Arabidopsis thaliana: one gene and its partners. The protein of the gene in region 4 interacts with the protein of the main gene of each other region in a biochemical or structural test. Each region holds a gene or a part of one and is shown on either strand. Other genes may lie near its edges.

Region 1 (8,233 bases), on a different chromosome or scaffold from region 4:
TATTTATAAATGGAATTTGCTAAATTCATGATACATGGAACTTTTCTTTTGTGTGATATTAAATGGAAATGCATTCACGTTATTGGTACTTGCTGTTCTCCGAATGGTTCCAACTAGAAAAGTAATTAATATATCGAAATTAGCTACATGTATTTATGTTTTTGTTCAAACAATCCAAAAAGGTAATCTATCAAAATAAGACCATGCACATGGCTAAATAACCACTAGCTCCAAATATGATCTTTGAACATTGTGGTGATTAGAAATGGTTAAGAGTCTATCTTTTAGATTGATTATGAGTTATAATCTTCATCACTCCTTAAGTTAGCTTTTAGCAACAAAAAGTTAGAGCAATGGGATATGGATAAGTATGGGAAGTACACCATGTCACCAACTTGCCAAAAAAATTCTCTTAGAAGAAAAAATGTAAAGAAACTTTTTTTTTAATTATTGGGTGCAGAGAGACATCGCATTAAAGGAAGAAGAAATGGAAACACGAGATTAGCATTACGTTAGCGTTGGTTGGATAAGAACCTCAAATTTTGAAACCTTTCCTAACGATTAGTTTGGTCGTCGTAGATCTCAACTCCTACGTGGATAATATTACACCTCTTTATTTCTGATTTTCATTTTATTTTTGAAGACAAAAGAAAGTGAATGCAAAAAGTACACGTCGATACATCGACGGTTCATTACGTTTAGAATACTATTGCTATATAATAACTACATGTGCGTTGATATCTTGGTGCATGTTTGGCTTATTTTGACGATTTCAATATCTCGTGACACTTAAGACAATAATTGTATTCATCATGACAGCTTGTAAAACGTATCTTAAGCCCATATGTCTAGGTCCAACCCAATCCATGATCGCAGAGAAGGCGATAACCAAAATTCAGTTTAAACTGATCTTAGAAGTTTTTTTTTTTTGTCGACTGAAATACATACACATATATCAAAATGGTTCGGTAATCCAAATCGATGGTGTATATAGAACTATAGGTCTTACATACTTAAAATAATGAAAATGTAGTGGTGAACAACATGCTAGCTAACAAGTTAGCAAGACAATTCTAATTACAAGAATAACAGAAAGCCAGAAGAGAGCAAATATTTGAGTCTTGCAAACCATTCCAAATATGTTGAGAAAATTGGCTAAAATGTTCAGGAAGTTGTCAATTTTCTTTTAGCTTTGAACAGTCCATTGAGATAGTTACCGATGTACTTTGATGCTTGATCATAGGAGAAAGGCTTATGCATAGATTCCTAACTCTAAAAAGAGATCCTTCTATGTCGTTATGAAAACCGATCCAACCTATATTTGAAAACATATCGAGTCTCCTTCCATCAACTATCTATAAAATCTTCACATGTTTACCAAAAAAAATGAACTATTTTATAAAACATTAATTTGTGACTTCAAACTCCAGTTTTTGTAATAAAGACCGTTGTTCAAAGGTACTTGTCTTATGTTCTTGCAGCTGTGCAGTTTCTCAAATGTATCATTAAAAACCTTATCATTACGTGCCTTCCAATGTATCAAATAATCCATGGAAAGGTTAAATCTTTTGAAGAGCCAGGTTGTTCCAAGAAAAGAATATCCAAATTTGCAAATACCGACGACACCGAAATTTCCATAGTGCTGAGGAGATCGAGCGCACATATCTGCAATGCAAGGAACACTCAGAAGAACGTGGTCAACTGTCTTCTTTGCCCCAATTCTTAAACATCGAGGATCACAATTGAATACTCTATTTCCCAATTGATATGGATTTAGTGACCAACTTAAAAACTTCCTATAGTAGTAACCAAAAGGATGAAGAGAATTTACAAAAAAAGGATCAGGTTTAATGTTTTAGTTTCCAGATTAATCATGCAGATTCACAAACCACAAGTATGAACTCGACTACATTGTAATCATGCAATGCAACGCCTTCTGATATGCAGTTTATAAAACATTTTTTTCTTATCATTAATCAGCAATCTTTATTTTTTGGGAAAGTAAAACAAGATTATCATTGACACTTCAACATTAGAGATTCTACAATCCTTTTCATAAAACTGGTCTCTATGACAAATCAGAGCAAATCTTGGAAATGGGCTCTACTCCTCCTTCTTCAACACAGTCTCAGCAGGAGCATCATCACTCTTATCAACAACGGTCTTCCCAGGCGTTGTGGTTACATGAGCATCTTGCTCAACATTCTCTGTGGGTTCAGAGACAGATGCGGTTTCAGGTTCTGAACCAGCCACTTTGACAGTACCAACCTTAGCATACTTGCTCATGAACTTGTACTCCCAATCTTGAAGAGCATCTAGCTCAAAGGGACCAAGACCAGAGACATCCCAAGTCAAGTCTTTCTCCTCAAATGACATCTTTGCAAGAGCTCGGCTAGCGTCTTTCCCTGCAAACAAAGCATATGGTCCTCCTGGTCCGTAGAACATCCTACAAAACCAATAAATATCAAACCTTTCATCACAAACACAACATTTAATTTAAATACGCAAAAACCAGACTAGACTATCATAAGAAGATGATCAATTCATTATACTCAAAGATTAACAAAGAGTTTTCACTAAAGATCTCAACCACAAGCAGACATTAACAACAAGAACATATTACAACTTCCTTTGAATCCTGTTCTTGTATGAAGGAAGCAAAAGGGTAAATTAACACTATGCCACTCAAAAGCTCGATTACATAGAAAAGCACAACTTTTGTGAAATTGATTCTCAAAGTGAACAACTTTATGGATATCACAGCTTCATAGATAAAACTATGCAAAGTCCAAGTTGTTATAGAGTAAAACGAGATTTGAGGAAGACAATAAAAATCCAACCTTTCATTACAAACACAACACTTGAGACACTAAAACCAGTCTAAGAGATTGATTATACTCGAAGATAGAGCTAAGATATTTCACAACATGATCTCAATCACTAGCAAACATCAACAACAAAAACATATTCCTTTGAATCTTTCTCTTGTATAAAAGTAACAAAAAGGATCAACTTTTCCAATGTGCTTTTCTGAAATTGATTCTCAAAACAAAACTCCTTTGTGAAATTGATTCTCAAAGTGAACAACTTTACGATTCTCACAGCTTTATAGATCATAAAAGTATGCAAAGTCCAAGTCTTTATACGCTAAAACAAGATTAGAGGAAACAATGAATCAAACCCATAACCTAATTTCGCTTTTTAGATTCAGAAATTTCACCTGCTTTGTGTAACATCATAGATCTGATGTTTGATAGCCATAAGAAGGGGCTTTTGAGGATCAGAGCCATCGTACTGTTTAAGCTCCTCCTCCGTGATCTCACCGACTTGAACAGGCTGAGGAATCGGTGGCTCCTCCTCTTGAGCCAAGGATCTAGCTCTCTGATGTCGGTTAACATCATCGAACGGCGAGGCAAACCAGCCTGAGATGACTTGGTAAATGGCGAAGGCGAGAGCTAGAGCAGTGAAGAAGACAACAGGAGAAAGACCTGTGTAAGCATGGATTGCTTCTTTGAGAGTTTGCCATAGTTCTAACGCCATGGCTTTGAAGAGAGGATTCTCAAGATCAGTAGTGTGTTGAAAAGGCTTGTCTTTGTAAAAGTCAGGCTTTTGTGCTAGATAGAGAGTTGTTGGGTTTTGACTCTTGTTGTTGTACTACTTCCTTGGTTGATTGATTTTTTTCTTTCTTGGGTTTAAAAGTTAAATACAGCTAAAACGACCGAATAAGATTTTTTATATAGTTATTAGGGAACTAATCTTTATTTTTACCATACAATTTTTAAATAAAAAGTTATTTTCTTCTATAAGTAAAATACAAATGATAATGTAGTACATGGGATTGTGTTAGTGTTTTTGATATGTCAAAATTCGGGTTTCAAGTCTCTGCCGTAAAATAGATAGATTTTCGACGAAATAGAAAAGACATCAAGCTTAGATATGTAAATGGCTAGAATATAGTTAAGAAAAAAGCAGTAGAGTATTTTCTGAAAATCTTTGATGTTCAATTCAGTTATTTTCATCATGAAATTTGATAAAAAAAACTAAAAAGAATCATAACCTCGAAAAGAAAAATAAGTTTTAAGAAAAATAAGTTTCGTGGATGCAGAATTTAAAAAGAAAAAATCAACCACTTTTCAGATTTTAAAACACATTTTATAACATTGATATAACCTTCAATCCAAATAATTTATTAATACATAAACTTTTTTAAAAATCAAAGTTTCAATAATTAAATCACTAGAAATAGAATAAAATCATACTTCTAAATCTTTTAAACATGATATACAAATACCAAATTTAATAACATAAATTTAAACAAAAAGTAATTAAAACTATATATTAAGTAAAAATAAATTATATTTAATTCAGATTTATGAAAATTCATAATTGACTATATTAGTATTTTTCACTTTTCTTCTCATGATAAATCTTCCAATCCTAACATTTACAATAATAACATTTTTTTTTTCTTTTGGGTCAAAAAATGATAACAAAGTCTTAAATGTTTCCCAAAAAATATCATCATAAATAGATTTGCAATTAGATTTTATAACCAAATCAAGCAAATGTTTTTTAATATACAGTGTAAGTTTTTTTAAAATTGGGACAATAACAATGGAAGTAAACAACAAACAGTACAAGAGAATAAAATGGAGAAAATGAGCTAAATTGCAATCAGAGAAGAGAAGCGTTGGGCCAGAAGACTCGCGTGCTGGTGGACTGAGTTTTCTTGAACCTCTCAAATCGGGGAATCTCCATTGAAACTCCTCCACACTACACGTGTAAACCCTTTCTTCTTCTTCCCCATTAAATCCTACTATTTTTCTTATTTACCTTAGTGGAGACAGAACCAAATCACACAATCAGACAAAATAAAAAGGTTCCTTCTTTATAACTTCCGACGGTGTCCATTATCTGAATCCGACAATTCTTGATGGGTTTTGGCGTTTTGAGTTGATAAACCATTCTGAGTTGTGAATCAGGGATACAAGAGAGAGAGGAAAGTGGTTTTACGGTGACCGGAGAGATGAACGGAGAAGGGATCTCTGATGGTTTGTCGGCTGAGAGGAAAGTGGAAATTAGAGTGAGGAAGAATGGGAGAAAGGATAAGGTGATTTATGAGTTTTAAACCCTTTTCTTAATTTTGATTGTCTTTTGCATGTTTGGTTCTTGTTAGCTCCTTTTGTGGAAATTGTAGTTATCTTTATTGAAGTGCCAAATACTTTGATTCACTCTTAGTTTCTGATTGTATGATTTTGTAATGATGGAAAAAGGTGAAGTCTTTTGTGACGTTTGAGTGATTTTCTCTTGCATGCAATGCTTAGCTTTTAGGGAAAGATGACATGTGATCAAAAGAGAAGAGGTCTAGTTGATTAAGTGTCTGAAAATGGTCTTGACCTGACTTTTTGTTTTGTTATAGATGATGTAGTTTGATCAAAGCTTTGTTATGTAGCTACATTTTGAACTCAATTGATTTTACTTGGTTCCACTGTGGCTTAGAAAGCTCTTATTACTTGTGTGCATGATTGGAGATGTTTATTTTTTTTAAGTTTTTCTTGAATTTTTAAAAGTTTGTCTCTTAGTTTACTTCGTGTGAAAAGGAATTATATGGTTACTTTACTGAGATGGTTAGACATTAAGAGTAATAGATCTTGTGAAAATGAATTTGGATTGTTAAGTAACCATCTTCGAGAGAATACTGTAATATTCGTAAGCACTAAAACTTTGTACCTCTCGCGTATGCAAAGGGAAAGTTTTGAGATGAATCACATTTATATTGGCAAGGGTCTGGTATTAGGTTGTTCATGGAAAGTTCATAAGCACAGAATATCTGAGAGTTTTGTGTTGTTTATATGTTTGAAGACAATGTTACTTTGTTCTTTGTGATCCCTAAAAAGATTTGACATTTATACGTCTCTTAAAATGAAAAACTCTTTATGTTTAAGTGATACAGGTTATAGTTGAGAAATCTGCTGCTCAAGGTTTACCTGAAGGATGGATCAAGAAACTTGAAATAACAAATAGATCAGGCCGTAAAACCAGAAGAGATCCAGTTTGTACCCTCTACTCTCTTTGTGATAACATCATCTTTGATCAAAAGTACATTTTGTGTCTTTTCCACATAAGCTCACTTTAGAAAATCTCTTATGTGATTCTTCTTGGACATGTCTTGTTTTTGATTTTGCAGTTCTTCATTGACCCTAAAAGTGAGTATATCTTTCAATCCTTCAAAGACGCATCACGGTATGTTGAGACTGGCAATATTGGACATTATGCACGTAAATTGAAAGAAAGTGATATCGAAGATGATGATTCCGGAAATGGAAAGACTGTTGTGAGTTCCTTTCTCCTTTTTTGTTATAGTTAGTTTAATGGAAAGCACTATAGCTGAATGATTGAATTTTCTGTTAATCTTTTAACTCTTAACTTTTCTCTGTCTGATTTTAGCTTCGTCTGGAGTATGTGGACAAGAGATCTGCAGATGATGTATTGGAAAAAGAGAAAACGATAGATGATGTCAGAAGAAGTAAACGGAGAAACTTATCTTCTTCTGATGAACATTCCAAGAATTGTAAGTACAAAGTCTTTTGGGTTCTGATTTTGCCACTTGCCAGGGTATAATCATACTTATGCCGTGAGTTACGTTAAGTAAGTGTCAACATTCGATTATATATGCAGGTAAAATGACTTCTGACTTGAGCATTGTAACCTCACAAGTTCTTGAGGATTTGGGGAAGAAGGAAGAGGTGAAAGATCCTATCGAAAAGCAGCTCATAGCGAAACGGGTTACTAGAAGCCAAACTAAAGCCAGTACGACTGAGGAAGTCGTCGTAGATTTAAAAAGAAATCTGTCTTCATCAAATGCAAAATCAGAAAAAGGTGTGCAGATACCTGACTTAATATTTCCACCTGAGTAGTGGCTGAGATAACAAAAAGATTTGAGGACACCAATTTTTTCTATGTTCTCTATATTTGTAGATTCTGTAAACTCCAGTGTAAGGTCACAAAAACCAAAGAAGGAAGCTGTTATGAAGGAAGAAGAGGAACAAGATTCTTCTGAGAAACGGATCACAAGGAGTAAAGTTGAAGAGAAGAAGAATGAGCTAAGTAATAGTGTAGCCCGACGAACATCAAAACGGTTAGCTGGTATTGAGCTTGAACCAACGCCTGAACTGAAGACAAGAGCCAAAGTTCAACGAATAGTACCGCTTGATGATGAACCGACGCCTGAACTGAAGACAAGAACCAAAGTTCAACGAGTAGTACCGCCTGATGATGAACCGACGCCTGAACTGAAGACAAGAACCAAAATTCAACGAATAGTACCTCCTGATGATGAACCGACGCTTGAACTGAAGACAAGAACCAAAGTTCAACGAATATTACCTCCTGATGATGAACTGACGCCCGAACTGAAGTCAAGAACCAAAGTTCAACGAATAGTACCTCCTGATGATGAACTGACGCCTGAATTTAAGACGAGAACCAAAGTACAACAAAGAATACCTCCTGATGATGGCAGAGCCGGAAAGTGCAAGCAACCTGTGAATCATGTTACTACCAGCGGATCAAAAAAGACGGAAATACCGCTCAACAAGGAAGTAGCCCAAAGCTGTAATGAACAATCCTCTCAGAAACCACATGCTGCTGCTGCAACAAGCAACAATCGTGTGAGTGCAGATTCGGCAGTGGGAATACAAAATATCGGTAAAGCAGTAGGCAGGAAGCCTTCTAAAGACAAGAAGACGCTGAAATCACCACTGATAGTATATGAACTGAATCCAGTTTTTCATCTTGACGGTTACAAGCAGAAGGAAGAAATGTCACCTGTGTCACCGTTGTCTTGCCAAACTTCTGCAACAAAGTGTGAGAAGACAGCAGCAGGCAAAAGAGTGGGAAGGTCTAGCCCAAAGGCTAACCTTACTACCAGTGTGAAACCAACTCAGATCTCGCCTCTGAGATCACCAAATAAAGGAAAGCAACCACATCCTTCTGACAGTGGTTCTGCCATTCAAAGGAGAAATAAACTAGCTAATGAGTATTCTAACTCATCCGTTGTAAGAGGCACATGCTCAGAAGTGATGGAGAAGAGTACCAACAGCTTCTCCTCTGCATTTGACTCGACTCTTGCAGATCTTTGTAAAGATCCTTGCATTGCCTTTGCTATCAAAACTCTAACCGGAGAATCTCTGTGTCTTCTCAACACTCCAGCGATCTCTTCTAATCCCATTAA
Region 2 (8,202 bases), on a different chromosome or scaffold from region 4:
TGGTGGCACTTGGGGTTCATGAACGCATCGATCACCTGCTTGATCTCTTCCAGTCTTTCTGGATCACGATTATTTCCTGCAACAAGTTGAAATTATGGAAAGAGCTTTTCAATGATAAACAAACATTCTGTTTGGGGTAACACCAAAATCATGTCATATCAAAAACACAAAGAAGTTGTTGCTTTCATTACCATTTATAACCACCAAAGGTAAGGTCCCCTTTTTGCTGCACACAGAAGGCCTAACTTGCTTCTTAGACTTTCTCGGCTTTTCCGCAAAGGAAAGTCCTTCTGATGCAACTTTTTCAAGGATAACATTGTCTCCAATCGACCTAACAAGCTCACAAGCTTTCTCCTGTACACAGAAGAAGTTTAATCGTGAGTCTTTTGTAATCCAATTCTAAATAAAACAGACAACCTCGAATAACATATGACCCCGATAGATGGAGGTTTAAAAGCTTGAGTTATCTACACACCTGTCGAAGACCACGAACTCCCTGAGAGTAGTCACTGCCAAGCAAAAGCGCTAGAGCTATCTGTAACATCACCCAAGAAAACATTGTATACATGACCTTACCATTTGATGAAACATAGCTAAGATTTTAAAGTTCTTTGACGCATGGAATAATAGTCAACACTCAACAATGTGTAGCTGGTTTTCTTGTCTACTGATGCTAACAAAGGAATTGAGCCCTTAAAGCTACAACGTTGCAGTAGAACCATTCATACACATAGTATCTATCTCACCTGAGTTTATAAAATATCAAAGGCCACCTTTTGCAAGCATTGCATTCATGCTTCTACCAATCTAATCATTTTATAATAACGTGGTGCAGCTTTATAGAAACGAAAGATCAGGGTTAAGTATATAAAGCTAATCACTTAAAGAGGTTTGTTAATTTACCAATGAGTTCCGTCCAAGCCCAAGCTTTTTCTTGATGTCATCCATCTCGTAGCAAACAACATAACCTCCTTCACCTAGTTCATTGGCAAATTTATTAGGACTTATAATACTATTAACCATATCAGACGGTAAAAGAAACCAACACACTAAAGAGTCTCTTTCCACTGACCAAGGCATATTTCTCTGTATACAGTCTTTGCACCAAAAAGGAAGATATCCGAATCAAAGCTAAAACAGGCGTCCTATGGATGATCATTGAATATTGGGTTAACAGCATGACGAACAAGAAACTGATTAAAGCTGAAAAATGCGTCTTACACATAAGGATTCCGAGTTTAGCAGAGCGCATTGCGCCTCAGCCTCCTCAATCCTGCATTTGATGGAAAATACAGAACAGAATCAGTTTCTCATAAGCAAAGTTAAACATTCAAACCAAAGTCTCATAAGCAAAGTTAAACACTCAAACCAAAGTCTCATTGTCAATCTAAGCTAACTGTCTTGAAGCCCTACCCGTCTAAACAAAGTATCCCTAGTGTTGATGCAATAACTTTCGCCTCTTTTATGATGCACGAGAACTCAGACCCCATATTTCTTTTGAGTGAAGTCTCTTTGCTAGGCTCAACACCATCGTCAGCGATCTGGCTGAACCAATATAGCACGAAATCGAAAAAAACAATCCAAAAACTAGCCATCATATGCAAGGATGAAACCACAAGTGCCACATTTGACATCATTGTACCTCGAATCTTGCTTTTAACCGACGCTTGTAAGTTGGTACTTTGATTCCAGGAATTGCACCATCTACAATTACATGCCACATTCCAACAAGTCAAGTATGCTCAATAGCATTGAAAAAACTAAACTTTAGAGCAAAGCATCAATAAATAAGAACTGATTTGACCACTCATGCTTCTATTACTCAAATCAATTCACAATGACAACAATACAACACTACATAAACCCTAATTGGCTCTTCTGATGGCAATTTTCAACAGTAGGGTAGAATTAAATTACCTGAGACTAAAATGATGGAGCAGTTTAGGGCAATTAGGGCTCGGAGACGATGAAAAAATCCTCGAAGATAAACTTTTTCTTTAGTGGCGCAATAAGATTTGTTCACTTTATGCAATTCCACCATCCAACACGAAAGATCCACGCATACCCTTTTGTTTCTACAGCGATTACGAAGATCTCGTAAAGACTTGGTCTTTTTAAACACCCAGAAAAATTAAAGAGAAATTGAGACGAAGAAACAACTCACTGAAGATGATCGAGTGGGAAAGTCTTCTTACAAGGCTCCAAGACATCCCAAAGATACTTCACTCCCATAGCTTCACCTTCGAGATCGAGCGAGAGAGAGAGACAGAGACAGAAAGAGGGAAGAAAATGATTTGACAAGATATTTGAATTTTGAAAATTTGGTTCAATAATAATTCGAAACCGGTCGGTTTGAAGGTTCCAAACCGAAACCAAAATTATTGCAAATTCTTCACTTCGGTTCGGCAACAGACCTACCATCAAATGTAAGTTGGTGCTTCGATTTTAGGAATTGAACCATCTTCAATTACCAGGCACATAGCAGGATGTCAAATATGAACTAAGCATAAACAACAAGTGAACAAACCCTGAATTATAGAACTGTTTATCGATTAATACTGTAGAAATAATGTATTTTGAAGCTTCCATAACCAGAATTAGATGTCATTATACAAGATCCAAAAAGTACACACAAGGTCACCATTTTTATTGAGCTATATACGACTCATACTTAAACCCTGAAAAATCTCACTAATTTCTCAAGAGAAACTGTGCCTCTCATTACATTGACTTTACTCCTTTGCAGCATCATCATCATCAGTTGCAACATCTTTCTTCTCCGTGGTTTCCGCGATTTTCTCGCCTGTGCTTCTAGAAGTTTCATCATGGGTAATTGCTGAAGCTTCTTCTCCAGTGTTTGTAGAAAGACCTTCCGCAGAGGCAGTCTTTGCTTCGGAAGGTTCTGAACTTTCTTTGCCTTCTCCATCCTTCTTTTGAATGGTTCCGACTTTGACATACTTGCTCATGAACTTGTACTCCCAGTCTTGTAACGCCTCTAGCTCAAATGCACCGAGACCTGAGATGTCTCCAGTCAAGTCTTGGTCCTCAAATGACATCTTTGCCAGAGCTCGGCTTGCATCTTTCCCTGCAAACAGAGCATATGGCCCACCTGGTCCATAAAACATCCTGCATAAAAAGAACAGATGGTCATGCAAATTAGCGACCAGTAAGAGTTAAGTAGAGTTTGAAGAATGAAAAACTACAGCTTGGCACATATGAATATGATTCATCTAGATATGTAGTACAGCTGATGAACTATGTACAAGAAAAAAACTAAAAGTTATGCATACATATACATCGACATGTATATGCGTTGATGAGTGTGTCTGTGTCTGTCGCCACTATGAACAAGCAAAACGGTATGATCACTGAAGTGATTATTTCATCTAGCACAAAACCTAATTACCACAACGAAGTTTTCGGTAACTGGAATGTAAAAGAACTGTCTAGTTGACAAGTCAGGGATCTAGACAACTGCAGCATGGTTACATACCAACAATGTTCGCCAAAACTTAATTTACAAACGTCATGGAACACAAATAGCAAGCAAATGTGGATAATTAATCAGTGAACGATCTCTTTCGCCACAATAGCAATATTAGAAGCCAAACCTTTGACGAGTTTGTACGTTATCAATCTCTACTAATCCAAGATGTAATCTAAATACAGGTTTTTCTAGTATAAGAAAAAGTAGAGATCTTTCCGATAACTTGAATACAATACAATTGTATCAGTGCTTCTAATGGTATTGTTCCAAGAAAAGAAGTGAAAAAACAAACACTAAGATGCAAAAAGCAATAAAAAGAGCATCATAAGATTATGAACAAAAAGGAGAGAATATTCATCAAAAAGATTTACTAAAAGTGTTCAGTTTTACAATAAAGAATCACTTAAACTAGAGTTCGAGCATCAGTAGATATACTAGAATCATAAGATAGATAGTAATTGGAAACTTCGGATTATAAATCAAACAGTCAACCATGATTAACTAACCTAAACCCCAAATCTCGAAACTATTGGGTTGAATCGTTTATTACTGGTAATTTAACTAGTGATCATTTGGATTCAATCATAATTTAATGAACAAGTAAAGATTTCACAAGAAATACCTGCTCTGAGAAACATCATAGATCTGGCCCTTGATCGCCATAAGAAGGGGCTTTTTAGAATCGGAGCCATCATAAAGCTTAAGCTCCTCCTCAGTGATTTCTCCGAGCTGAACCGGCGGTGGAAGAGGCTCCGATTGAGGCTGAACCTCCAAAGAACGAGGTCGGTGAACTTCAGGAGAAACGAAGAAACCGGAGACGACTTGGTAAACGGCGAAAGCGAGAGCAAGTACGGTGAAAAACGCAGCTGGAGAAAGTCCAGTGTAAGCTGTGATTGTTTCCTTCAACGTCTCCCATATTTGCTGAACCATGATTTGAGAAGCTATCGAGAAGCGAAAGAGAATGAGAGAGAAGAGTAACGTTTTGTGTTTTAATTTTCAGATTTATTTGCGATCGAATTAAAACATATATATAATATCTTCAATTTTTGGTATAAAATAAAATAAAATGGTCAAATTACGCAACAAGAATTTTAAACGATTTTGTTTAACAGTCGTCGTCCATAATGACCGTTGATGTCTGAAAAATATTTTCTTTTTGTTCGTGTGAAACATACATAGAAATTTTCTAAACGTTTTTAAGAATATATATCGTTACCTAACTAGTGGTGGCTGAGCTCGATAAAACGGTGTCGTTAATGCCGCCGGAGAAGACTGGTAGGTAAGAACTAAGAAGAATAAGATATAGACCAAAAAAAAAAGGTAGATGATTTGCAAAACAAATGTGACTAATAATGCTAATATCAAGACAAATAATTGTAACAATATTGTTTTATTTTCCTATTTGGTGTGCAAGGTTGGTGGTGATCAAAAGTTGATCACTACAGACATTCATTGGCATAGCCTACAGATATATACACATAATACGATTCAAATCAAAACAAACAACACAAAGAAATAAACAATTCAACAGTCAAAGATGAGAACAATAACAAGTTAAGTCCTTCACAGAGAATGATCACAGCAGAAACATCAAAGATGAAGAGAACTCACTTCATCAACCTTCCAGTCTCCTTCCTCATACTTGTACCATCTCACAATCCCTTCATCGTTTTCAGTCCTCTGACACATCACACACGTCTTGTGATCCATGCAAGTCAAGAATTTCTTTAGCCTTGCTGTTTTCTCCATTATCGTCTTATCGAGCTCTCTAACAATCACCTTCTGCTGAGGCTGCCAACCGCTGTACTCCACTAGGTGAGAGTGTGATATGTTGAGCACTTCAAGGCTTGGTAATCCGTCAAGGATTTTCATCAGTGCTTCCCGCTTTATCGCCGAGCATCTGATGCTGAGTGTTTTGATGTTTGGGAGGCAAGTGATGAGCGTGTTTGCAAAGAAGACCTCGAATGGACCCATGATCTTCAGCTCTTTAAAATTCTTGCAGTTCTTGGCAATTTCTGTTAAGAGATAAGGCGGGTTTGCGATGCTTGGCATTGTTAGTGACTCTAGATCTTTCCAGATTCTTATCGCTTTGCATATACCAGTCTTCTTTATTCTGTTCCAAGCCGGTAGGACGACCCGTCTCAACCCTGGACACCTGCAAAATATTCAGTACAACAAATTTTTCAACTTTTAGCATTTGCGAGATTCAGCTTAATTGTAATTCAGCAATTTTGACTGAAAGTGGGTACATGAACTTAACCAAACCAAAAACTGAACCAACTTTTGACTAAAAAACCATAGTTTACGGCCATGATGAAACAATTTGGAAGACAAATAAGTGGAAGAACGAAAAGGACATACCTTTCTGCGGTGTAAGTAAGCTGATCATCACTCAAGAACAAGTTGAAATGAAAAATCAAGGTCCTCGTGCTTCCTCCGCTAAGGTTCATGGAGAGTTTCAGGATGCGGGTTAGGGCCTCATCAGATCGGCGTTCCACATAGACATAAGGCTCTAATGGGATCTTGATGAAACTAGATCTCATGTTTGACAAATCCACCGTCTTCCAAAGAATCGGATCGCAACAAGCAGCTCTCCATCCTCTACAAACATGAGCTAATCCCGAAGTCAACTCAAAGACGCTAAACTTCTGGAAAATTCTTACTAAGATGTCAGTGTCCAACTCTTCCCATCTCCTCAATCGACGACTCTCATACTCTTCTTCCATTCTTGTTGTACCCTAAACAAGCATAAGAACGTTAATCAACTGTTGTTATCCACAAGAGCTTATAGAAATAGGAAAGAGCACAACTTTAAGAAGTAGGAAAAGAAACACACATCAGTTCTCTTATTCTCTCATAAATATGAAATTCTAATCAATCAATCCTCCCTGAATCCCTCAATTTCCATGATTCCATTTCCATCACAGGATTGATTGATTGCATCAATCAATGAGTTATTACTGCTATAAGTGAAATGAACTACAGAACCCAACTATGATAATGTTGGAGTTAAGTAATCAAAGTTTAAAGTCCCAAAGAGAAAGACTTTTCTTCCCTCAGGTAAACCAATACAAACACCAAAGCTAGATTATATTCTTACATGATCATCATAATCGATCTTCATCACTATTTATCAGAAAAAGGAAACACCAAACCTTAGAAAGGAAAACTTCCGTATCAGAATAGTTCAACAAGGAATTGAAACCAAACATAAAACCAATCTACAGAGGAATATATGCAAGACAAGTCAAGAGTCTCAAACTCTAGAGATTGTGGCCAAGTAATTGAAGATCAACCATTAAAACTCAGAAGAACATGAAAAGACATAGAATTTGACAAACCAGAAGACTAAAGATCGTAAAACTCACTAGGACAGAGAATTAAGCGAAATCTGATGTAAAGGAATCGAATTTCGAAAATCTAGAGGAATAAGATTGAAAACCCCCAAGACTCTGTCAACAAATCAATCTGATCTCTTCACATTCCCAAATCAGTCGAACTAAAAAACCGAAGAGACAGATCTCGAATCGCCATTTTCTCAATTCAGAATTGAACAAAGAATCAAACGAAACATAGACATGAATTAGATCATAAAGAAGAAGCTGAAACACGCAAAGGGGCACTGAGAGAAATGAAGAACCTACCTTTAGGAAGAGGCAAATCGTTTGGCGACGACGACACCGTTACAATCTGTCTCTAGCCAATGGAAGTAGATGATATGAATTTTTTTATGATAAATCGGTTTGGTTTTGGTTTGACGGAGTTTTCAGATTAAACCGGTCTTAAACTCAACACAAACCCTTATCTTTGGGAACAAGATTCTTATTGAGGTTGACTCTTTAAAAAGTAGTTAAATCCGACGGTGGAATACACTTATGAGTAATCTAACGGCTGGTATGCAACTTTGGTAGGTGAGTGTGTTTAATCTATGAAGGGCGGCGATGCGAGAGAAGATAAAGAGAGAGAGAATAGAGAAATCTCTTGTCTCTTGGGTATCTTCTTCTTCACTTTCCTATCTCTTTCCCAATAAAAGGAGTCTCTCGCTTTCTCCAACTTCGCTATCCAAAGGCGTCGACGGTATAAAACCCTTTTCTTTGCTACACATAAAACCCTTTTCTTTGCTACACTCACTCTCTTTCTCAGTCTGTTTTTATTTTTCATTTGTTGTTGTTGTGTTTCATTGAAGAAGCTTTTAGGTTTCTGCTTCTCTGTTGTGTGAGCTGTTTTAAAGGTTGAGTTTTTCTTTTCTTCTATTTCTCATGGCGTTTGGTTTCGTTTCTTTTGGTGGTTTCATTTTGAGTTTTCTGAATCTGGGTACTCTTTATTTGGTTTTATTGATATGCAAAAATGCTTACTTTGAGATTAGGGTTGTGTATTCGCGTTTCGATTTGTTCAAAGATGATTGCTTGTTTTGCTTTGGAGAGTTTGGAGATAAGAAACATAGCTCAAGCTTTTGTGACATTGTTCTGCTCTTAGTTGGTGAATTGAAATTGTGTATTTTTGTGCCTGAGCTCTTTCTGTATACGTGTTTAAGAGAATTAGCAATACTGATGTTCTACCATTACCCAATGCAGCCTCCAACATTGCATCATGGCTTGGTCGATAGCTCTTCTTACACCTCCTTTTTTTGGTCCCGGAAGGCATGTGCAGGCCAAAGAATACAGGGAACCAAGAGGGTGTGTGATGAAGATGAGCAGTTTAAAAGCACCTGTTCT
Region 3 (6,759 bases), on a different chromosome or scaffold from region 4:
AAATAAATGAGAGAAAAAGAAACTTAAAGGATCACACCAAAAATACAATTTTTTTTTAAAAGGATACTACTGTTTAGTAGATATTTGTGACTTTTTCATCAAAGTTTAAGTAAAAAAATTTAAAGGATATTAATGCTTAATACTACATGTTGTTCATTTATTTATGTGTTATGCTACATTGTCACCGTTTTCTTTTAACTTCTACATCATTACCATTTAGGCTATGATCACCAATTTTAAATTTGAGTTTATGTATTAAATTATTGTGATAGTGCATTCAAAAGTATAAAATATTGTGTAAATTCTACCAAATTTTTATTAAATATTGTCTAATATTCTATAAAATATTGCAAATACTTCCTCCTCTTTGCCTTGACTCTTCACGACACTTGTAAAATATTGCAAATACTTCAAAAGATAGAGAGATGTTCAATTCTCTCATTCATTCTGTTATTGCAATTCTTGTTATCTCAATAAACATAAGAGGTTGAGCTTAATTAACCCAAGAAGATTTGATTTATTTTCTTGTGAGTCACTTTGAAAATTCATACCCCGGTTTCAGCGTCTTGGCACATCTGTGAAGGGAAATACTTACTGGCTTGCTTCTAGTCGACAAATAGGTGTTATCTTACTATGTTTTGATTTTTCAACAGAGAGATTCCAGAGTGTGTCTCTTCCCGAGGATGTTCCTCGTTCTTATTGTTTTTTTAGTCAAACTGATTTCATAGATATAGAAATGATTTAGTCTCCATTACAAGAGTAAAACACATCACTAAAAACAGAAAGAACTGCAAATACAAACGCATTATAAGAGAATAATGCAAAAAACAAGGGGATAAACCGGAGGTGAAGGAAGCTTAAAACAAGCAGAATTCTCCCTAGCTCAACGGTGACTTCGAGTAACTTGAAAGATTTTACACTGAACTGGGAGTCCATGAACAATTGCAAAACCAAAGAGTCTTCATTCCACGCCAACAAGAGGGCGTTATTCAATGATAAGGCAGTCTTCGCTACAATATCTTCTGCTACCAACGTGTAGGTGCTAGAACGATAAGCGACAGAAATGTCTCGCAAGGGAACTTCAAGGGTTTTAGAAGATAGCATGTCCAAACAAGATGCAACAGCAAATCCACAAACACCAAAGAAGCTTTCATTCCCTGCAAATAAAGATTTCCCAACAACAGGGGAACTTGATAGAACATAGATCTCCATAAAGGAGTAACAATGGCAAACAAAGCACAACCACAAACAAAGCATACAATTAGTATCCTTGTGAAGACCAAAAGCAATTGTGAACAAGCGAGAATCACAATTCCAACTCCATGAGTTAGCTGAACATTTACCCATCTCAACTTTAGAGAACCTACAAATCATATAGACATGAAAGAAGGAACTAAAGGAGGCATAGGAGCCATAGGAAAACCTAATAGCTTCAGGAAAAAGGCTGCATACTGCAGTAATAGGTCGCACTATGGCGATAGAAGTGTCACCGGAAGACACACGGATCTAGAAGGTTTATCATAGAAAACACTTGCATATAATTTATAATAAGCCTCAATGACGAGGGAAAGGAGATGGAGGATCCAACAAACAAGGAATACCATGAGGGAGACGATGGAAAATCGCTACAACAACGAGGAGGAGGCTCTGGAGGTACCGGATCTGGAGGCACCGGAGGCTTGGGAGGATCCAGCGATACCCGAAAGAACAGCATCCGGAGGTGAGCGGTGTTCACAGTCCAAACGGAGGAGCTCGACGACGGGAGAGTTGAGAACGAAGCAACCATCAGAGCTGAATTACTAGCCAAAGACTACTCGCAGGCGACAACGGGTTCCGACGAACGACGAGGATCTGACCCGAGAAGGAAGAGCAGAGCGGCTTCAGAAGGAAGAGGATAATTGAGCGGCGGAGCAGCGGCGGCGGAGGTCCATCTTGTCTTGGAGCATGGAGGGGCGGCTTCCTCGGAGATCGTGCCCGGGAGAGAAGACCTAGGGCGAACTCTCTTTGGTTAATATTTAAGATCGCCTCGTTCTTATTGTTTTGCGACTTTGTCAATGACTAGAGAAGCGCAACAACTTTGTATATTTGCTGCTCAGAGCTCTGAGGTATGGATAGCGAATAAGATGGAGAGTACGAAGCCATTTCATAGAGCAAGTTCCTGACAGTGTCGAAATTTGATGACCGCTATCATTTAGGGTTATGTTTTGGGTTGAGTTTCTTAGTCGACATAGAGAACAAAGTTGTAGTGTCTTGTAATCACCCCGGGTTCTCCAACAACGTTTTACAAATTGTGGGAAAGGATAAATACCTACCTGAGGATCAACATGGTGCCGAATCTCCTACCCCTCCACGTCTCCTCATTTATGTTCTAGGTTTGGTTCAAATCCAGCAAGGTAGCTAGTTCTTGGAGGTGGTGGTTTGTGCATTTTTTTATTTAAAATGTCAAAATAATATCTAAGTTAGGATGCCTCTCTCTTGATAAACAAGCATAGCTATAGGCCACAGCCACTACACACGACACAAGTCAACTCGAGCCAAGAACAACTCTACCCATGAACAGCTCTCCCTCAAACCTAAGACTTGGCGTTAAAGCAACATATTAGTCGCAAGAACGCCATGCCGAACAGGGCCGAAGTCATACAAGTGATGATAATAATTTAGACCGGGAGAAGTAAGAAAGAATCAAAGAAGACACACATTAGCTTCTATGAATTCTGAATGTTCATCATAACTATATTCTTCCAAATCTCATAACGCAAAAGACTAAAATTAACAACAACTTGGAACTTGTAAGATAATTTACACCGAATCCAAAACTACCAGTAAGTTTGGTGTTGCTCAGATTTCAGAAACCATCAGTTTTTCTTTCACCAGACACAATTAGCTCCAAGTATTTGCAAGATATGAAAGACACAAACCAATCTTTATATCCTCTCATCAAATACATATGAGACTTAAAACTCCTAAAATCCTAATCATCACAACAAAGTAACCTTTTTTTTTTGGTAAGCACAACAAAGTAACCTTAAGATCAGAATATGAAGACCACTGAGAACACGAAATCCCCGATTTATTTCATAGATAATTTGGTACTTATGGTAATTGTATCAAAACGATCAGATCCAAACACGAAATCAGAAAACACACAACACAAAGATCCTCACACACAATAGTTACATAACATAGTGCAATCTCAGAAGAGAGACCTAAGAGACAACACGGCCAACGACAGGATACTTAGCTTCAAATTTGGTCTCCCAATCATTAAGAGTATTGATCTCTTTCTCAGTGAGACCTTCAAGAGAAGGAGACACATCTTCTTCGTTCTTACTCATCTTACCCAAAGCTCTGCTCGCGTCTTTTCCGGCGAACATCGAGTAATCGCCTCCGGAGCCGTAGAAGGATTTTCCGGTGGTGACATCGAACACACGGCCTTTGATTGCGACGTAGATCGGCTTTGATTCGTCGGTGCCGTTGTATTGGCTTAGCTGCTCTGCGGTGAATTCCATCTTTTTCTTTAAAGCTCTGATCAATTGTTTCTGGAAAGAACCAAATAAAAGATAGTGAGAGATATATAACAGAGGATTTTTTTAAAAAAATTATAACTGAATAACTTTTTTTTAATAAGTGGAACAACTTTTTTTGTGTCGGTAATAAGTGGAGTAAACTTTATTCTTCAGATTTTTACAAGGAATATCAAAAAATATTTTATTTTTCTCTAATTAAAGTCGATAAAAATTCCAGAAATGCTTAATCTTTCAAGGAGCTTAATTTAAGCTGCTTAAACAACTTCGTCGGGTTTAAAGGACGGCTTTGGGAAAAGACAATTTAATTTGAACTAATTCCTAAGATAGAACACATTTGTATGTTTATTCCTACAGTAGAACACATCTTTTTTTTATTACTCAGATGTTTTCAGTTATTGTGTAATTACAATTAACACCCCTAATTAGTTTTAATTAATTATTATTATTTAATTCGTTTTTAACTAAAAATTAAATGAAAAAACAGTGATTATACATGTCATTATTCCATGTCATTACCATAATCCACGTCATTAATTATCTCCAAACTCCATAACGTTTGGGTTTCTTATTTCTTAGCTTTACTGTTCATCATCTCCCAAAAAAAAAAAAAACTGTCGCTTTCTTCCACTTTCTCTCTCGACGGAACGAAATCGATTTCTTTCGCCGTTTTGCTCTTTTCTCGTCTGTTCCGGCCGAAATTCAGACGCCGGAGTCGCATTTACGTAAGCGCGAAGTCACATTCGACATCTAAGTTCCGGTGAGTATCTTTCAATGAAGTAAGACTCTGACATCTAAGTTCAATCTCAAGTGATTCCCGTCACTGAAATCGTTTTCCGATGCGTAACGATGGTTTTTAAAGCTGGGTTTTAACGTCGACGTTGATTGACATATGGTGGCCGATTTCTTAGATCTATTTGATTTGACGGCTGAGTTACTGTTTGTTTGCCGACTGATTTATGATTTATCAATTCATCCGTGTCTGAGTTTTTTTTATGCTGTGACTGAGTTATGGTTTAACCTTACATCGATGTCTGAGTTTCTGTTATATGACGGCTGAGTTTGTTTATGTTATGGCTGAGTTTCTGTTTTGATATAGCTGAGTCTGGTTTATGTTTTAACTGAGCTGTTGTTATGTTATGGTTTGACTGAGTTTCTGTTAAAATATGGCTGAGTTAGATTTATCTTATGGCTGAGTTATGTTATGTGTGGCTGAGATAGGTTTATGTTATGACTGAGTTATGTTATCTATGGCTGAGATAGGTTTATGTTATGACTGAGTTATGTTATCTATGGCTGAGTTAGATTTATGTTTTGCCTGAGTTATGGTATCTGTGGATGAGTTTGTTTTATGTTATGACTGAGTTATGGAATGCTTACGGCTGATTTATGGTTATACAGATGTCTGAAGACCAAGCAAGGGAGTACCCTCCAAGACTTTACCAAGAGGGGGATTCTAATCTGGAGGGTAAAGGCATTAATCATAATATAAAGCTGGGAGAGTTCCCTGCAATTAGAGAATCAATAGGAGAAGAAATATGGGCAGAACTGAAAGAGACAGAGCTTGGATTAATTGCTAAGCTTGTTGATAGTCATTTTCTCTGGTCTGGTAAGACCGTACATTATCTACTATGCAGACAGCTGAGAATACTGAAGAAGGAGCTTTGGTGTATCGTGGCTGGTAAACCCATCCGGTTTGGATTGAACGAATTTCATCATATCACTGGTTTAAATATAGATGATCTGCCTACAGAAAAGTTTGAGCCTGAAGCTGACTACAAAGCGTTCTTCAGTGAATTGCGTGTGCCAACCGGTGAAGGTCCTAATCTAGATGAACTTAGGCAGGGCTTAGTAACGTGCAGAGCTTGGCCTACTGAAAAACGTAGATGGTTTGGGTTATTGACTCTTCTATCCATTGGACTTTTTGGCTTGCATACTAACTCTAGGATACCATTTGAGAGTGCCAAAAGAGTTTTCGACGACGAAGCCATGAAGACTTATCCATGGGGTCGGGCAGCATATGAAGCCCTTGTCGTTTCTATAAAGTTGCTGAGGCCTATTGGCAAGACGTACACTGTCAGTGGTCTGGTTTTCGTGTTGCAGGCTTGGGCGTATGAGTCAATCATCACCATCGCTGAGCGTTTTGGGAACGCTGTTAACGCGGATGAGATTCCGTTGCTTAGATGGGGTGGCAGCCGTACCCGTTCAACTATAGAATCGGTCATTGCTGAAGATATCAAAGCGAATGGTGGTGAGGTACGGTTTCGGCTCTGTTATGTTCTGTTTTTTATCAAATATTTATGTTACGGCTGAGTTAATGTTTTATTTTTCTCTGTGAAGGCTGAGTTATATTCTTTTTTTTTGGCAAATATGTTATGTGACGACTGAATTATGTTCTATAATGGCTGAGTTATATTAAGTGACGACTGAGTTATATTAAGTGATGGCTGAGTTAAACATACTGATGGGTTTTATTATCTCTCCTGTTGTAGCTGCGTGTTCGTACAATGGTTGAAAAGGCTGAGTTAAGCGAGCTGTTTCATTTTTGGCCAGACCAATTAGAAGACCCAGCACTTGATAACTTGATCCAAGACTTACACGAGGTTAAGCTTGTTAAAGGTTATTGGGATGTGAAGACGAGTGAGAAGAAGAAGAAACTCTTAAAAGATAAAGAAGCGGAGGTGTCTGAATCTCCCGCTAAGAAACAGAAGGTCTCTCACGGTGAGCATGTTGATTCTCTTGAGAAAGATGCAGAAAAGAAGAAGAAGGAGAAGAAGAAGAAGAAGGAAGTAGCTGTCGAATCTGATGAGGACGAGGATGTTCGTTCTCGTGAGCAGGATGGTCAGGGAGACCAGCAGTCGCTCGTGGATGTGGTGTCCAACTTGATCTCTCCCTTAAACTCTCGATTTGACACCGTTGATACTAGCATAAAAGAAATGTCCTCCCGTCTGGATGTGATTGGATGTCAAATCGAATCGAGTGTTGAAGCAAAGTTTGAAGGAAGGTTTGGATCGATTGAGAACGACGTCAAACAGATTAAAGAGCAGCTGAAGGCCATAGCTGATTCAAAATCAAGCAGCTATATTAGAGATATGTTTTTATCCAAACCACAGCCCCAAACGCAGGAAGACAATCGTAAGGCCCAAACTCAAAAGACACCAGACGTTCCAAAGAAAATTACAAATAACCAATCTGCTGCTCCTAGTCCTCCTCCGGTAAACTTTTAGTTAGTTAT
Region 4 (8,486 bases):
TTTTGGGATTTTTTTAAATTAACAATTTGCTCTAATTTCTTTATTTAAAAAACGCAGAAAAAAATAATAAGATAAAAAGAAAAGTGAGCACGTAGTTGTCATTTGCAGATATTATCATTTGCCAATTTTCTTGTAAATTCACCTCTTTCCTTCGTCTATCTATCCTCCCTTCCGCAACATTGTAAGAACACCAAATCCCCTCTCATTTCCAATTTTTTGTATATCTTCTTGTTTCATATTTAGATCATCCAATCTCTAAGAATGTTAAAGGTCAAATTTTAAAATTTTTTTGTCGGTTTTTTTTTCCTCTCCGGTGTCGGAATCCGACAACGTAAGGATGATTCACATAGGTTTTTAATTTTTGATATGAAAAGAGATTCTTCTCGTGATTGGCCCATTTGTTTTGTTTTCAACAATGTTCACGTTTTGATCGCAAATTTAATTTGATTTCCATGATAAAAATTGGAACTTTCTTATGTTGTGATCATTTACAACAATTTGTGCGTGATGGGTTGTTCTCAATGTAGGATTTTGTTTGATGATCGTTGGGTTTTGAAAGAAGAGCAATGAGCAATTATGCAGCCGGACTCGGTAAGCCTGGCTCAGGTAATGACAGATTCTTTCTTTTGTGTGTGTGTGTGGTCGATTCTATAGATTTAGCGAAATTTCTTGACTTTTTCATGTTATAATGGCGTCACAAGGTTTCTGATTATGTTGTGATTCAATCCACATTGTGTGTTTAACAGGTAAAAGGAGAATCAGAGATCTTTTAAATCAACCTGATAACCGAGTCTGCGCTGATTGTGGCGCTTCTGATCCTAAATGGGCGTAAGTCATCGCTTCTAAGCCTCTTTTTCTTCTTCTTATCTTTTGGTAGTTTTGCTGATAAACAACATGTCATTTAGTATATAGCTAATCTTATGCTAATACAATATGTTTGGTTCTGTATGTTCTCTATTCATTTAGGGGTTAATCTCATAGAGTTGAATGTCTCACATTTCTTTACCATAACCGAAAGTTACTTATTCGCATTATGCGATTTGAGCTTCATCTACATGTTCTTGTGTCTTTAGTTATGTATCTTTGTGTTTGTTCTTATATTGAATAATCAGTTAGTAGCTTGTTTTCAGATCAGCAAATATCGGAGTATTCATTTGCTTAAAATGTTGCGGTGTGCACAGGAGCCTCGGCACTCATATTTCAAAGGTGATATATCTTCTTTGCTCTATTACATATTGGTTGTCCATTTGTTGTCTCTTTTCTTCATTACTCAAGACAAAATTAGATCTCTTTCGTTGTGTACTCATTGTTTGGTTTCTCCAGGTTTTGTCTGTGACACTAGATGAATGGTCAGATGAGGAAGTCGATTCCATGATTGAAATTGGAGGAAATGCGTCTGCTAATTCAATTTATGAAGCTTTTTTACCTGACACGTGCTCTAAGCCTGGACCTGATGTTAATCATGACCAGCGTATGAGATTCATTAGGTCAGATTCTAAAACAAAATACTCTGTGACAGGACAAATCTATTGCTGTTGTTTGTATAGTGACTTACTCAAAATCTTTATTTAGGGCAAAATATGAACTGCAAGAGTTTCTGAAACCAAGCTTGCGGATTACATCCGGGAAAGGCTCAACAAAGAGTTCAGCTTTTCTTACATCAAGTCTTTCTAGAAAGATCATGGATAGTTTTCGCACAAATTCATCATCGCAGACGATGGTAAAGCTTCAAACTTGCATAAGTTAACGTTTTCTTTCTTATACCTTTCTTCTTGCATGTTTTGAAATCGGTAAATTTGACAGTTTCAGGAAGGAATGGTAGAGTTTATTGGATTGTTGAAGGTGACTATTAAGAAGGGAACTAACTTAGCAATCAGAGACATGATGTCAAGTGATCCATATGTTGTGTTGAATCTAGGGAAGCAAGTAAGTGATTTGCTTTGCATCTTTTTATTAGCTTTACTTCTTGTTGATGCTGTGAATCTTGAGTAAAATTGTCTTGTTTATTCAGAAACTTCAGACAACTGTTATGAATAGTAATTTGAACCCGGTATGGAATCAAGAACTCATGCTGTCTGTTCCTGAGAGCTATGGCCCTGTGAAATTGGTAAGAGCAAATTCATTTTCTATTGACGATTTCAGTCATTGCCAAAGCTTATATATATATCTTACGGTTTCTTATGTGGTTGCAGCAAGTGTATGATTATGATACATTTTCTGCTGATGACATAATGGGAGAAGCAGATATTGATATACAACCTTTGATAACATCTGCAATGGCTTTTGGGGATCCAGAAATGTTTGGGGATATGCAGATTGGGAAATGGCTAAAATCGCATGATAACCCATTAATAGATGACAGTATCATTAACATTGTTGATGGGAAAGTGAAACAGGAGGTTCAGATCAAGCTTCAGAATGTAGAGTCTGGAGAATTAGAGCTAGAAATGGAATGGCTGCCACTTGACCAATAAGTGTCATATAGGTCTCATAACCTTTATAAATGTACTGATTGATTTAATTCTTTGTTTTTTTTTTTTCTCTCCATTTGTTGGAAATTTTCAAAAATCTCTTTGCATTTTTTTCCTCATTTCAGAGGTAAATGTATTTTGATGTTTGTATAAACCAATGGATTACTATATGATGTTTTGATTGATGGAAAAAGGGTGAAATATCCACTTATGTAACATACACTTTCACTTGTGATCATCAATTTACTTGAGAGTCGTTTCTTCAAAGTTTCAAACTTTCCACAACAGAAACTCTACTTAAGATGATCAAGGCATTGTCAAATGAAATGCTTTGGAAGGAAGAAACTGCCTCTCCTTCGTTAAACCAAGCTCAGTATCTTGCAGTTTCCTCTCATCAGACATATCAATGCTTGGACAAAGGTACGAACCATTTTCTACATTTGTGGGACATTACAGGCATTTCTTAGCAACAACGAATGTTCATCATACTCAGAACCTAAAAGATTAACATGTTCAAGCCATCCTTAGAACCCAACAGCTCAACACTTTCGCTACATCTATTACTAGAGGCCAACAATTGGACTATTTACAAGTTTCGCAGAACTGCACTAAACAGAGTCGAGTCACTTTGCAGGCGTATTAAACAAAAGAAGCACAGATAATAAAAACGAAGCGATGATAAAGAAGAAGTTCGACTTGTCATTAGAAAGAAAGAGATAACAGGAACGGAAACATAGTAGAACACTTATTCATCAGGGATTATACAAGGCCCCAAAACACAAACCACCAAAGTTTTACATGAAACGAAACATTGAACTTCTTAAGCATAACAGAGACGAGATTTAGAAACCACCACGAAGACGCAGGACCAAGTGAAGAGTAGACTCCTTCTGGATGTTGTAGTCGGCCAAAGTACGTCCATCCTCAAGCTGCTTTCCAGCGAAGATGAGACGCTGCTGGTCCGGAGGAATACCTTCCTTGTCCTGGATCTTGGCCTTGACGTTGTCAATGGTGTCGGAGCTTTCCACTTCAAGGGTGATGGTCTTTCCGGTCAAAGTCTTGACGAAGATCTGCATACCTCCACGCAGACGCAACACCAAGTGAAGGGTCGACTCCTTCTGGATGTTGTAATCCGCCAAAGTACGACCATCCTCCAATTGTTTTCCGGCAAAGATCAACCTCTGCTGGTCCGGAGGGATTCCTTCCTTATCCTGGATCTTGGCCTTCACGTTGTCAATGGTGTCAGAGCTCTCTACCTCCAAAGTGATAGTCTTTCCGGTGAGAGTCTTCACGAAGATCTGCATACCTCCACGCAGACGCAAGACCAAGTGAAGTGTGGACTCCTTCTGAATGTTGTAGTCAGCCAAAGTTCTTCCATCTTCAAGTTGCTTTCCGGCGAAGATCAATCTCTGCTGGTCCGGTGGGATACCCTCTTTGTCCTGGATCTTGGCTTTCACGTTATCAATGGTGTCAGAACTCTCCACCTCCAAAGTGATGGTCTTTCCGGTGAGAGTCTTCACGAAGATCTGCATACCTCCACGCAGACGCAAGACCAAGTGGAGTGTGGACTCCTTCTGAATGTTGTAGTCGGCCAAAGTTCTGCCATCTTCAAGTTGTTTTCCGGCGAAGATCAATCTCTGCTGGTCCGGAGGAATACCCTCTTTGTCTTGGATCTTGGCTTTCACGTTATCAATGGTGTCAGAACTCTCCACCTCCAAAGTGATAGTTTTCCCAGTCAACGTCTTAACGAAAATCTGCATACCACCACGGAGCCTGAGAACAAGATGAAGGGTGGACTCCTTCTGGATATTGTAGTCAGCAAGAGTTCTGCCATCCTCCAACTGCTTTCCGGCGAAGATCAGCCTCTGCTGGTCCGGAGGAATACCCTCTTTGTCTTGGATCTTGGCCTTGACGTTGTCGATGGTGTCAGAACTCTCCACCTCAAGAGTAATCGTCTTTCCCGTTAGGGTTTTAACGAAAATCTGCATACCACCACGGAGCCTGAGGACCAAGTGGAGGGTGGATTCCTTCTGGATATTGTAATCAGCCAACGTACGGCCATCCTCTAGCTGCTTGCCGGCGAAAATAAGCCTCTGCTGATCCGGAGGAATGCCCTCCTTATCCTGGATCTTGGCCTTAACGTTGTCGATGGTGTCGGAGCTTTCCACCTCGAGGGTGATTGTCTTTCCGGTGAGAGTCTTAACAAAGATCTGCATCTGTTAATCAGAAAAACTCAGATTAATCGACAAATTCGATCGCACAAACTAGAAACTAACACCAGATCTAGATAGAAATCACAAATCGAAGAGTAATTATTCGACAAAACTCAAATTATTTGAACAAATCGGATGATATCTATGAAACCCTAATCGAGAATTAAGATGATATCTAACGATCAAACCCAGAAAATCGTCTTCGATCTAAGATTAACAGAATCTAAACCAAAGAACATATACGAAATTGGGATCGAACGAAAACAAAATCGAAGATTTTGAGAGAATAAGGAACACAGAAATTTACCTTGATCACGGTAGAGAGAATTGAGAGAAAGTTTTTAAGATTTTGAGAAATTGAAATCTGAATTGTGAAGAAGAAGAGCTCTTTGGGTATTGTTTTATAGAAGAAGAAGAAGAAAAGACGAGGACGACTAGGTCACGAGAAAGCTAAGGCGGTGAAGCAATAGCTAATAATAAAATGACACGTGTATTGAGCGTTGTTTACACGCAAAGTTGTTTTTGGCTAATTGCCTTATTTTTAGGTTGAGGAAAAGTATTTGTGCTTTGAGTTGATAAACACGACTCGTGTGTGCCGGCTGCAACCACTTTGACGCCGTTTATTACTGACTCGTCGACAACCACAATTTCTAACGGTCGTCATAAGATCCAGCCGTTGAGATTTAACGATCGTTACGATTTATATTTTTTTAGCATTATCGTTTTATTTTTTAAATATACGGTGGAGCTGAAAATTGGCAATAATTGAACCGTGGGTCCCACTGCATTGAAGCGTATTTCGTATTTTCTAGAATTCTTCGTGCTTTATTTCTTTTCCTTTTTGTTTTTTTTTGCCATTTATCTAATGCAAGTGGGCTTATAAAATCAGTGAATTTCTTGGAAAAGTAACTTCTTTATCGTATAACATATTGTGAAATTATCCATTTCTTTTAATTTTTTAGTGTTATTGGATATTTTTGTATGATTATTGATTTGCATAGGATAATGACTTTTGTATCAAGTTGGTGAACAAGTCTCGTTAAAAAAGGCAAGTGGTTTGGTGACTCGATTTATTCTTGTTATTTAATTCATATATCAATGGATCTTATTTGGGGCCTGGTCCATATTTAACACTCGTGTTCAGTCCAATGACCAATAATATTTTTTCATTAATAACAATGTAACAAGAATGATACACAAAACATTCTTTGAATAAGTTCGCTATGAAGAAGGGAACTTATCCGGTCCTAGATCATCAGTTCATACAAACCTCCATAGAGTTCAACATCTTAAACAAGAATATCCTGATCTGAAGAATGTGGAGGCTTTAGTCCCTTGGATACTTGGGAGGCTGTGGAAGAACAGAAACGAGCTGGTGCTTAAAGGGAGGGAATTTGGAACCAATGAGGTATTAGTAAGGACACAAGAAGATGCAGATGAGTGGATTAGAAGGAAAGAGGCTCAGAATGTAAGGAAAGCACCAACCACAACACCGTCGGGACAGACGAGAAACATGGGAAGCTCCACCACAATCTTGGGTTAAGTGCAACTTTGATGGGGCATGGCCAACAGAAGGATTAAAATGTGGCTTAGGGTGGGTGCTTCGCGATCATACAGGGAAGGTGTTATGGTTAGGTGCAAGAGCTGTGGTAAAAGTAAGAAGCGTGCTGGAAGTAGAAGTGGAGGCTCTTAGATGGGCTGTGCTGTCATTATCCCGATTCAATTATAGGAAGATCATTTTTGAGGTGGATTCTCAGCAACTTGTGTCTTTGGTTACATGAAAGTTATGCTTGTCAAGTCTCAATCCAATTATCCAAGACATAAAGTATCTACTTAGCAAGTTTGAGGATTTTATGCTTGTGCATACAAGCCGAGAAGGAAATGGAGTGGCAGATAGAATAGCTAAGGAATCTCTTTCTTTTGAGAATTATGATCTAAAGTTGTATTCTATTGTACCAATTTGGGTTAAAAGCTCTGTTGAGCTAGACTGTGTATCCATAAATGGGTGAATGGAAAGTTTGTTGTTGAGCCAAAAAAAAAAAAAAAAAAATCATCAGTTCATCATATTGGTAGTCTTGTTTGATAAGTTCTGCTTTTTTTACCTTCCAGTTTTGCCATTTGATGTTGCAATGAGATTTCTTTTGCTAATGTTTTAAAATAACAAAGTTGTTGCTGCTAGTGTTTCCAAGTTGTGTTTGCTGAAATTAGGGTTTGTAACTTATAAGAGAAGCTTGATCGCTGCTTTCGACTAAAGGGAATTCAATAACAACAAGTTTACTTGAAGAAAAATATTAAAACCTAGAAGAAAAGAGTTACACCTACAAATAGGATAAAATCCACATAAATTTCTGTTACTAAATGTATCATAGTTTTGTTTCTTCTATGTATCTACATATACTCAAAAATTTCAAAGCATTGTGACTTAAGGGCCAGAAGAAAACTTGAAGAAAGATTAAAACCTATTAGCAAAGAGTTAAAGATCCACATAACTTTCTGTTGCTGAATGTATCATAGTTTTTGGTTTCTTCTGTGTCATATATACAGACTTTCTACAGAACTTTTTGAGCACAAAGCATTGTGACTTTAGAGCCACGAGTAAAAGACGAGGCAAAATGTGTATCACGTCCACTAACCATATAAACTGTTTCGGCTGGAAGAACACGGTTCCACTCGAATGACTGATCTTCGTTCAATACTCTCTCTTTCTTTCTGTCCACAAAGAAATATCCTTCGTGAGGCATTCTTATATGACCCCTCCGACCACTTTCAACCAACTCGGTTCTCAGTATTTTCACTTGATCCGTCGAGTTCACATCCACCTCAATAAATCTCTTCAGACCTTTACACTCACTTGAAGCTGCCACCACATATACTTTAATCTTCTTCTTCGGGTCAGTGATCTCTTTGACTGAGTTTGACGCTGGAGATTGCTCCATTTGAGGCACTTGAACCGTCACAGACGAATCTTGAATCTTACTGGTCTCTTGGATAACACGTCTGGGAACAATCACAATTGTATCCAAGGGTTTAACACTGTTACACTCGTATGACTGATCTTCGTTCAATACTTGATTATTGTGCGTAAAGATGTACCCTTCTTGAGCCAGTTTCATAAGACCTCTCAGTGTTTTCACCTCATCCGTAACTTTCACTTGCACCAGAATATTCGTTGGGACTTCATTCATACCAGGATATGGCGACACATATACTAGCATCTGCCGGACTCTTTTTTTTCCGTTAGTGATCTTTTTGACTAAGTTTGACTGTGGAAATTGCTTCGTTGGAGGCACTTGATCGTTGTTGTTCTTACTCGCAAACTTCACAGACGAATCTTGAATGTTAACGGTCTCTTTGACTGAGTTTGACGGTGGAGATTCCTCTGTTTGATGCGCATCTTGAATCTTACTGATGTCTTGGGTTGTCTCAGGCCGATAACTGTAAATCTTTCTGATCTCTTCCTCTGTCAAAGGCCAATCTTGCTCCGCAAAGTACTCTTCAACTGAAATCCACGGTGCTGGAGGAGATTGCTCTGTTTGCGGGATTTGATCGTCGTTGTTGTGAATAGGGTTCACGTCAGGAGAGACTTCGAGTTGGATTTGAGAATCGTGGAAGATCTGGCATTGGTCGAGGTTAAGATCTTCTCGAAGAATAAAAATGCCGTCGACGATAAGGGTTTGTTTCGAAACTGGGACACGTTGAGACTTCTCGATCTTCTGTTTGACCACTAACAATGTATCTGTGCGTTCCACTTCAATCTCGAACGATGAACCACCCAGAATCTCGACCACAAACTTCATGACTC

What was found.
Region 1: the proteins of UBQ10 (region 4) and MSBP1 form a complex in vitro, tested with the Arabidopsis thaliana proteins (one study listed by BioGRID).
Region 2: the proteins of UBQ10 (region 4) and MAPR3 form a complex in vitro, tested with the Arabidopsis thaliana proteins (one study listed by BioGRID).
Region 3: the proteins of UBQ10 (region 4) and MAPR2 form a complex in vitro, tested with the Arabidopsis thaliana proteins (one study listed by BioGRID).

What each region holds. Positions count from the first base shown.
Region 1 is NC_003076.8:21,208,428-21,216,660, reverse strand, and holds MSBP1 (membrane steroid binding protein 1), read right to left. Parts: upstream 3,722-8,233; 5' UTR 3,541-3,721; coding exon 3,221-3,540; intron 2,447-3,220; coding exon 2,104-2,446; 3' UTR 2,050-2,103; coding exon of another isoform or gene 2,042-2,049; 3' UTR 1,819-2,041; downstream 1-1,818. Other genes in the region: MBD13 (methyl-CPG-binding domain protein 13), read left to right, coding at 5,027-5,110, 5,954-6,052, 6,188-6,334, 6,448-6,571, 6,679-6,879, 6,979-8,233. UniProt on the Arabidopsis thaliana protein: MSBP1 can bind to multiple steroid compounds with different affinities. Negatively regulates cell elongation and brassinosteroid signaling. May act as a coreceptor with BAK1 and enhances its endocytosis.
Region 2 is NC_003074.8:18,125,884-18,134,085, reverse strand, and holds MAPR3 (membrane-associated progesterone binding protein 3), read right to left. Parts: upstream 4,635-8,202; 5' UTR 4,418-4,634; coding exon 4,110-4,417; intron 3,127-4,109; coding exon 2,733-3,126; 3' UTR 2,494-2,732; downstream 1-2,493. Other genes in the region: AT3G48900 (single-stranded DNA endonuclease family protein), read right to left, coding at 1-76, 192-354, 476-535, 904-977, 1,073-1,145, 1,222-1,273, 1,414-1,541, 1,643-1,704 and 2 more; AT3G48880 (RNI-like superfamily protein), read right to left, coding at 5,078-5,642, 5,849-6,213; HSP93-III (Clp ATPase), read left to right, coding at 8,078-8,202.
Region 3 is NC_003071.7:10,606,197-10,612,955, reverse strand, and holds MAPR2 (membrane-associated progesterone binding protein 2), read right to left. Parts: upstream 3,540-6,759; 5' UTR 3,510-3,539; coding exon 3,207-3,509; 3' UTR 3,056-3,206; downstream 1-3,055. Other genes in the region: AT2G24945 (uncharacterized protein), read right to left, coding at 742-1,374.
Region 4 is NC_003075.7:2,714,760-2,723,245, reverse strand, and holds UBQ10 (polyubiquitin 10), read right to left. Parts: upstream 5,270-8,486; 5' UTR 4,992-5,269; intron 4,704-4,991; exon of another isoform or gene 4,688-4,703; coding exon 3,314-4,687; 3' UTR 2,938-3,313; downstream 1-2,937. Other genes in the region: AGD13 (ARF-GAP domain 13), read left to right, coding at 567-606, 747-828, 1,131-1,206, 1,324-1,487, 1,573-1,720, 1,804-1,926, 2,012-2,107, 2,193-2,474; AT4G05310 (Ubiquitin-like superfamily protein), read right to left, coding at 7,234-8,481. UniProt on the Arabidopsis thaliana protein: Ubiquitin exists either covalently attached to another protein, or free (unanchored).